2 linked regions of the Cricetulus griseus genome follow. The protein of the gene in region 2 purifies or fractionates together with the protein of the main gene of each other region. This does not show direct contact. Links are inferred from orthologs where the notes say so. Each region holds a gene or a part of one and is shown on either strand. Other genes may lie near its edges. The genes, in order: Vgll4 and Tead4.

The links.
Region 1: the proteins of Tead4 (region 2) and Vgll4 purify together in Homo sapiens (co-immunoprecipitation; 5 studies listed by BioGRID and IntAct, counting the BioPlex papers as one, with this or other methods). This does not show direct contact. The link is inferred for Cricetulus griseus from reciprocal best matches to the Homo sapiens genes TEAD4 and VGLL4.

The regions. Positions count from the first base shown.
Region 1 is NC_048601.1:29,949,711-29,953,521, forward strand, and holds part of Vgll4 (transcription cofactor vestigial-like protein 4), read left to right. Parts: intron 1-2,943; exon of another isoform or gene 2,944-2,948; coding exon 2,949-3,138; intron 3,139-3,811. UniProt on the Homo sapiens protein: May act as a specific coactivator for the mammalian TEFs.
Region 2 is NC_048601.1:18,180,040-18,183,850, reverse strand, and holds part of Tead4 (transcriptional enhancer factor TEF-3), read right to left. Parts: intron 3,690-3,811; coding exon 3,549-3,689; intron 1,860-3,548; coding exon 1,707-1,859; intron 1,602-1,706; coding exon 1,488-1,601; 3' UTR 1-1,487. UniProt on the Homo sapiens protein: Transcription factor which plays a key role in the Hippo signaling pathway, a pathway involved in organ size control and tumor suppression by restricting proliferation and promoting apoptosis.

The sequences.
Region 1 (3,811 bases), about 12 Mb from region 2:
CACTCCTGTAATCCCAGTTGAGGCTATGACAGGAAGAAGATGAGTTTGAGGCCAGCCTGGGCCACACGGTGAGACCCCGTCTCAACCAGCAAGCAAGTGAGCGAATACACACTGCTGTTTTGAAAGTTAAGGTCTATGTTTTGTTGACTGAAAAAGGTGAGAAAGCAGTAGCCATTGTCACTGTGTCCAGAAAGTGGAGTCTCAGAGTCCCTCAGGTGCAGAATTTCAGATGAGGCTGTACGCTGGTCTCCTCCTGCCCGTATGTTCCAATGTGCCTTTGATGTGACTGCTCATGACACGGCCGTGTCTTTCTCCTTCCCTGTTCATGCACATTTGTGCATGCAGTGCTAGCGACGGTCCGGGGCCTTGTGTGCCCTAGGGCAGTGCTTAGCCTTCAGCCCTTTCCTTCCTCTTAATTTTTTCCTTAAAATAAATATATGCTGATACTCATGAAACCCTTGGCCAAAAGAAATTTTGCTTATTTTTTAATCGGGGGACAATGTTTAAGGAGTGCTTCTGCTTCTGCCGCGAGTGGAAGTAGCAATTATATAGATTGCATTTGCATGTGGCTGGAGTTTTTCTTTAGGAATAGTGAGTGCTAGGGATGGAACTCGGGGTCTCATGTGTCCTATGCAGGTGCTCTGCCTCCAGCCCCTGCTGAAATCATTCAAACCCTCCTCTGCCACATAGAAGAGTATAGCAATTGAGCTGTTAAATATAAGCATTGCACAGCTTCTCCTGGGTGTGGGAGAGTGGACCAAAAGATGAGCAAAAAGGACCAGTCCGGTCACTATTGAGGATTGTTGCCCTTTAGCTTCAAGTTATGGAGGTGTTGGTCTGATAAGCAGAAGACATGCTTCCTGTCTGCAGCTCACCTGAGCAAACCATTCAATTCACTTCACCCTGGTCAAGTGTTACCTCATCTACCCTCATTTGCAGGGGACTCTGCAGTTCCTTCAGGGTCCTTAGTCCCCACTTCGTTCCTGGAAAATCCTCTGGCTGCCTCTGAAGCTCATTCCTGTGTGAACTTCAAATGGATCAAACACACCATCCTTTAAAGGCTGTCACAGCCTCGAGGCATGGAGCCAGTGCTTTCTCCCCCACTGGGTGACTGGCCTCTCTGTGGGTGACTTCCCAAGTGATGGGGCCTCTCGGTAGCTTCTGTCCTGAGGCCCTATAGCTGCTGTCCTGAATGACTGCTCCTTTTTTGGACCCCTTGGAACTTGTTGCTGTGGTGATTGTTTCCATAGCGATGTCTGTTGCCCCAGCAGGCAGCTGATGAAATGGCTCCTGAAACTCTGGGGTCTGGGCTGAGCCTGTGTCCTCCCCACTCCTTGGCCCCTGCCAGGGGTGTTGGGAAACACTGGGCACAGAGTGTGGACAGTGTAGGCTGTTTTATGTAGGTTGATTTGAAGGGGTAGTAATACTTCCTGGGGTCCCATGGGGTTCTTCGTCTGCTCACCAGAGTCTTAAAGGGACAGCTCTGCTCTATAAAGGAAGAAACAGGGCTGGGGAAGGAGCAAGAGGCAAGGGGGGGGGGGAGCTTGCACCTTCTCAAGGTCTGAGGAAGGACACTGCTTAACTTTGTTTTCTGACACCAAAAGTTAGCAGAAAGGAAACTGAGGCCCACCCAAATCAGCCAGAGTCTATGAGAGTGGCAGGCATGTTCAAGAGTTCCTGTTGAGCTACTCTGTACAATATGGAAAGTTCCAGTTTGCCCTGTGGCCAGAAGCCTTACAAGAAATCCTGCCAGGGGTGTATTACAGGTCACTGTATATTTGCAAGTTTATATCTTGCTTTCTAAACTGGCAGGGTTTTTGTTTTTCCTGGTGGGTACGCAGAAGGCCTTTCCCTCCCTCCTTCCCCCTAACAAAATCGCATTTGTCGCTTGTGACGCCTGTTTGACGGCCACACATTAGTGATGATCTGAAAGGAAGTGAGTGGTCACAAAGGTGGCTTTTCTTGGGTACCACAGTGCCTCAGATGAAGTTGACTTCATGCTAGTATGACTCTTACTTGTGACCGGTGGAAATAAGGTTGGTCAGGCCCCAGAAGCCAATGTGTACTGCCCAACAGAAGGGTTTCTCTGTGTGAAAGTTAGCCTGCCCACTCAAAGTAATTATAACTCTTGTTATAAATTTTAGAAGATACAAACCCCTTAGTATTTGAAAAGCCCTGTTTGTCTTGATTCACAACCAGGCATAAATTTATCTCTCAGCTCAAAGCCCCTGACAACAGCCCAGAAAGTCAGACCTGTCAAAGAAGATCTTTGACGGAGCCCTTGTGAGTGCCTAGCTGTGAAACACATTTTGAGAGTTGCTACTTGGGACTGGAGAGGGCTCAGTGGTTAAGAGTACTTGCTGCTCTTCCAGAGGTCCTGGGTTCTGTTCCCAGCACCCATGTTGGGCAGCTCACAACTGCCTGTAACTCCAACACCAGGGGATTCAACAGCCTATTCTGGCCTCCATGGGCATTGTGTACACATACACACACACACACACACACACACACACACACACACACACTTTTAAAAAATGTAAATATAAACAGCAAAATTAGCCTGTGAACAATGGTTTCATGCACTTTCTTAAAGGTGTAAGGTTGAATTCCTGAGACTCAAAGGACCTTCCTAGTTTTAATTTCCCTTTGGGGATTGCTCACAATCAGTTTTCCCCTCTCGGCTGTTTATAGCAACTTTTCAATTTAAACTCTACCCTAAAGAGTTAGTGCTGGCAAATCTCGTTGTTGTCAAATGTCCCCTGCTTGGCAGTGGCTGTATGCCCAGACCATGTTCTGAGAATGGCAGGCTGCCTGCTGTATTGCCAAAACTTTCCACAGAGAGAAGTTTTGCAAGGGGTGGGCGGGGGGCCAGGGAGCTAGGGGACCTCGGAGACCACAATGGGGGTGCTTTTCTTGCTGGTAATAACATCCCCATTCTCTTTGTGTAGGTGAAGCTTCTCTCAGGGGAGAACCCAGAATGCAGACCCTCCCAGTGGCCTCTGCTCTCAGCAGTCACCGCACAGGCCCACCCCCCATCAGCCCTAGCAAGAGGAAATTCAGCATGGAACCCGGGGACAAGGACCTCGACTGTGAAAATGATCATGTCTCCAAGATGAGCCGTATCTTCAGCCCCCACCTGTAAGTTCTGCCCCTTTGGGCTCATGCTTGCTCTAGGCTGGGCTTTGTTTTCTTTCACCTTTCTGCCCATATTGTCATTACGCTTTCATGAGTTATTGATAAAGGACATTGTTTATAAAAGATAGGTGGTGGTCATATGCCAGGAAGGTGTCAAGCTGACTTTAGTAACTGGTCCAGAGATGAAATCTTACTTCCTTTCAACTCCTACAATTTCTCCCTCTTGGAGGCCAGCAGCCCTTAAGACCTCCTGTGGGCATGGTCTGGAAAACCTGGTTTGGTGCACTCTCCTGGACATTATTCAAATTGATAGTGTTGTCTGTCTTTACACACCCAAGAAACGATGTGAGTACCTATGAAGCCGTGCGTGCGTGCGTGCGTGCGTGCGTGCGTGCGTGTGTCCATCCAGTACTGTGGCCTAGGGAGCACTCCTTTGCACCTGTGGCTGGTCACAGCTGGAATTACCTTGGAGCCATGGTAAGAGAGCCTCTCTTGGTGTCAGGAGACTGTAATTCTGATCCTTGATTGGCATTGGCGTGCTTTAGTGTCCTCTCTGTCCCTCATCCTTCCTTCCTTCCTTCCTTCCTTCCTTCCTTCCTTCCTTCCTTCCTTCCTTCCCTCCTTCCTTCCTTCCTTTCCTGTTAAGATTTTATTTATTTTTATGTGCATTGGTATT
Region 2 (3,811 bases):
GGTCGGCCCCAGCACCAAAACTCCACACAAATAACATCACTAAACATTAGCCATCCTCCTCTCAGAACTTGTCCCTTGGAGGGCTACCTCTTCCCTGAGACCCCTGGATCGCTCCTATCTGAAGGCCAGCTGCTGTAGGATCACCCCACCACAGTGGGCTTCAATCTGGGCTCCTCAGCGGGAACTGAAGCTCCCACGGTGAGTACCGATGCATATTTATTGAACATGTGGATGTGCTCATTGCTACATGAGGCACTGTATAGACACGAGGTAGGTGGATGCTATACCCATTTTGCAGATGGGAAACTGAGGCACCATAACGTTAACACCCCAGAGGTTGCACATCAAAGTCAGGCTAGACTGATTTCCAGAGCCCTTCGTCCCTCACCTCTGTAACATCCCCTCAATGCTACCCTGCCCATTTCTGCACCCCCACAGATACATCCCTGAGTTCTGGGCACACACACAAACATGCCCAGGTTGGATCTTTCTTCCTGAGGCTCCAGGTTACTAGAAACTGGCTCCAACTGGGGAAGCCTTGAGAAAGCAGCAGAGAGCCAGACCCAGGCCCTCCAGAGGGAGGGAAGCAAGGGGCTGGGGCTGAGGGAGAGATCATTGAACTGGCATGGTACCCAGTCACTATTGTTTTGTTTTTTGAGACAAGGTTTCTCTGTGTAGCCCTGGCTGTCCTTGACCTCACAGAGATTCGCCTGCCTCTGCCTCCCAAGTGCTGGGATTAGAGGTGTGCGCCACCACCACCCGGCATGGCCTAGGCACTTCATAGACATCCTCTCCTCACCAGTGCTGAGCGGAGAGAAAAGTGGACGAACAGAGAAGCCAAGGACTTGAATCAGGACTCCCTACTTCGAAGCCTTGCCTCAATCTGGAGTCATAGCCCCCTGCAGGGCCACTGCAGGGCCACCTGAGTAACTCAGTCTCCAGCCAACAACTTTGTTGAAGCCACACCTAAATCTAGCCCTGTTTGCAGGGGTGGGGCCTTCTGCGGTAGCCATCATCACGGCAGGGCTGACAGTGTACACGGGTCACGCACAGCATCTCTGGGTGTGTGACCTGCATGCCATCTGTCCTCAGGCCACTAGTGTGACCAGCAGCAGAGTGTAGGGTTCCAGCAGCTGAGAAGGGACCACTGGGTCTTGAGCTTTAGCGTCTGGAGATAAACAGCTGGCTGAGTCCACTGGGGTTCTGGCTCCTGGACCATCTGAGAGCATCTCTGGGCTTGCTTCCAGCTTGCTTCCTGGTACCTCCTGGTGCCCCCTTCTCCCCTGCCCTCCTGGGCTCATACAGCCAGACCAGCTCCTCTGAAAATACTCGGCACCTTGGGTTTATTGGGGGGTTGGGCACTGCAAGATCAGGCAGTTTGCTTCTCTGCTCGGCTCTCTTGGCACTTCTGGGGGGCTGGCCCTGAAGGTTCCCTCCCAGGTCCCCATTTCCTGGATCTGTCCCCCCACCATCGTTCTCCAAGTCTCTCATTCTTTCACAAGCCGGTAGATGTGGTGCTGAGCCCCATGTTCGCTGGCTGACACTTCGAAGACGTAGGCAATGCACAGCAAGGTCTCCTGTGTGTCTCGATTGGTGACCACCTGCAAGTGAGACAGAGGTGACGGTCAGAGCCCTGGACTGGGAAGCCAAGGGTGCCACCCACCACCTCCGCACAGACCCCCTGGGCATGCGGCCCCCGGTCACACCTGCAGGATGGTGAAGTTCTCCAGCACACTGTTCATCATGTATTTCTCCGGTAAGTGCTTCAGCTTGTGGATGAAGTTGACCATGTACTCACAGAGCGGGGACCGGTGGATACGGTACAGGTAGCGACCGTTCTCATAGCGCGCATACTCTGTCTGTAGAACCCCAGGGACAGCAGAGGCTTAGCATCCCTTCACCTCTTGCCCAAGCCCAATTTAGCAGGGATGTACAAAAATCCAACACAGCCAATGGGACACAGAGGCAGAAGATGATCCAGGACCAGCGCTATCCTCTGAGGTTTCTAGACATGAAAGCAGACCTTTCCGCTCGGTCACTTCCAGGAGAAGGACATGTAAAGACCCGGAAGGAGCGGCCATGAGATGGGGCAGGTGTGGCAAGTGAGGCTGAGCTGAGGGAGGGAACCCGCATCCGTGTGGTGGAACTGCCTTACGCGTGAAGCTTGGTAGTGGATGCTACCAAGGAGCTGGATAGACAGCACATAGGATGATGGCTGGATAGACACATGAGCACCTCAAAACCTTGATAAGTTTAATGCAAGTAAATAACTGTAGGAGCTTTGTAAAAAACTGCCTTTGCTGGGATAGGACAGCAATTCTGAGCCCTGGAGTCCATCTATAGCACCAAATAGAACAAAAGACCACACACACACATTACACTCCCAAGATTAAGAGAAGTTACATGAGTGGGGCTCAGTGGAGCTAACGTGTATCAAAAGCTTCCTGGCAATGGAACAGCTAGGGTTGGGACCCATGAAGCGAAGGTCGAGATTCCCAGGTGCTGCCTGGCACCTAACTGTTGGACATGAGTTTCTGTCAACCTCAGGTAGAGAGGACACCATCAATTCAGACCCACGTAGGCCAAGAGGTGACCAGCCTGACAGCATGTAGTGTTAAGCACCGCAGTGTCACAGTCTTTAGGACCACACGGACACTGTGACATTTAAGGCCATTTTGTCATTCTCATCACACAGTAAGATCAGAAGGTCACAGTCATTGGGACCAATGGGTGGTGAAGGCAACCTGATACTTCCTTAGAGATCAGTCAGGAGTGTTAACACAACCCCAAGAGGAAGTGGGGGTCGGGGGAGGTGTACAGGGATGAAACCCAAGTCCTTAGCTTGAGAGCTCATTACCAGCCTGCCTGCCTTTGACAGGGTGAATGGGAGTGAGGCAGAGAACTCTGCCCAAGTGTAAGGTCTCCAAGGCACTCCAAAAACCAAAAAGCTGTGTGATACTGGGATGCCTGGCAAGGGGACTCGAAAGACTGTCTCAAAAGGGGTGAGGTGGGGATAAAGGGCTGTATAGCTCAATGGCAGAATACTTGCCGAACATACACCAGGCTCTTAGAAAAACTCAAACACCTGGAGAAACAGGGACTCCACAAGCTTGCAGCATTCGTGGAGTAAAAAGTGAGAGGGGAACAGATCCTGAACATCCGTTCTCACGGCCTATGCATCTAGAGAGCTGTGCAACTGAGAAAGGCCATGCCTATCCCCAGGACCAGCTGTCAAAGACACAGATGGATTAGGGAGAAACCCTTGGGCTAGCCCCTGCTTTGGCCCTGCTCTAGAAGTTGCGGGATGCTTGCAAGGAAGGTGTGAAAGGAATCCTGACCAAAAAATTAGTCAGGGATCGGAGGTGTGGGACAGACAATTAAATCAGTAATTTATTAGATGCCTCATACCCAACCTAAAACACACACTTCCTGAAGGTATGTGGAAGCCACATGGGGCCCCCCTCAGCAATCCTGCCCCCAAGAGAGCTCCAGGGAAAGGGGGCACACAGACCATGCCCTTTGTCTACACCCACTGGATGGCCTCCTACCTCAACTTTCTCCACCACTTGCTTGCCAAAGGAGCAGACCTTGGTAGAACAGGTAATGATCATGTTCTCCAGGCTCTCGTACTGGCTGGAGACCCCATAGAAGGCGTTGCTTTCATCGTCAATGTTGGTATTGAGGTCTGCCTGCCGGAGAAATGGAAGCATACGATTGTTTTCAGGGGTGTCCTTAGAGGTCACAGTGCAGGTTCTTGTGAAGGGACTCTAGCCGGCCTGAGCGTGACAAACATGGCTCTGGCACGCCCCGC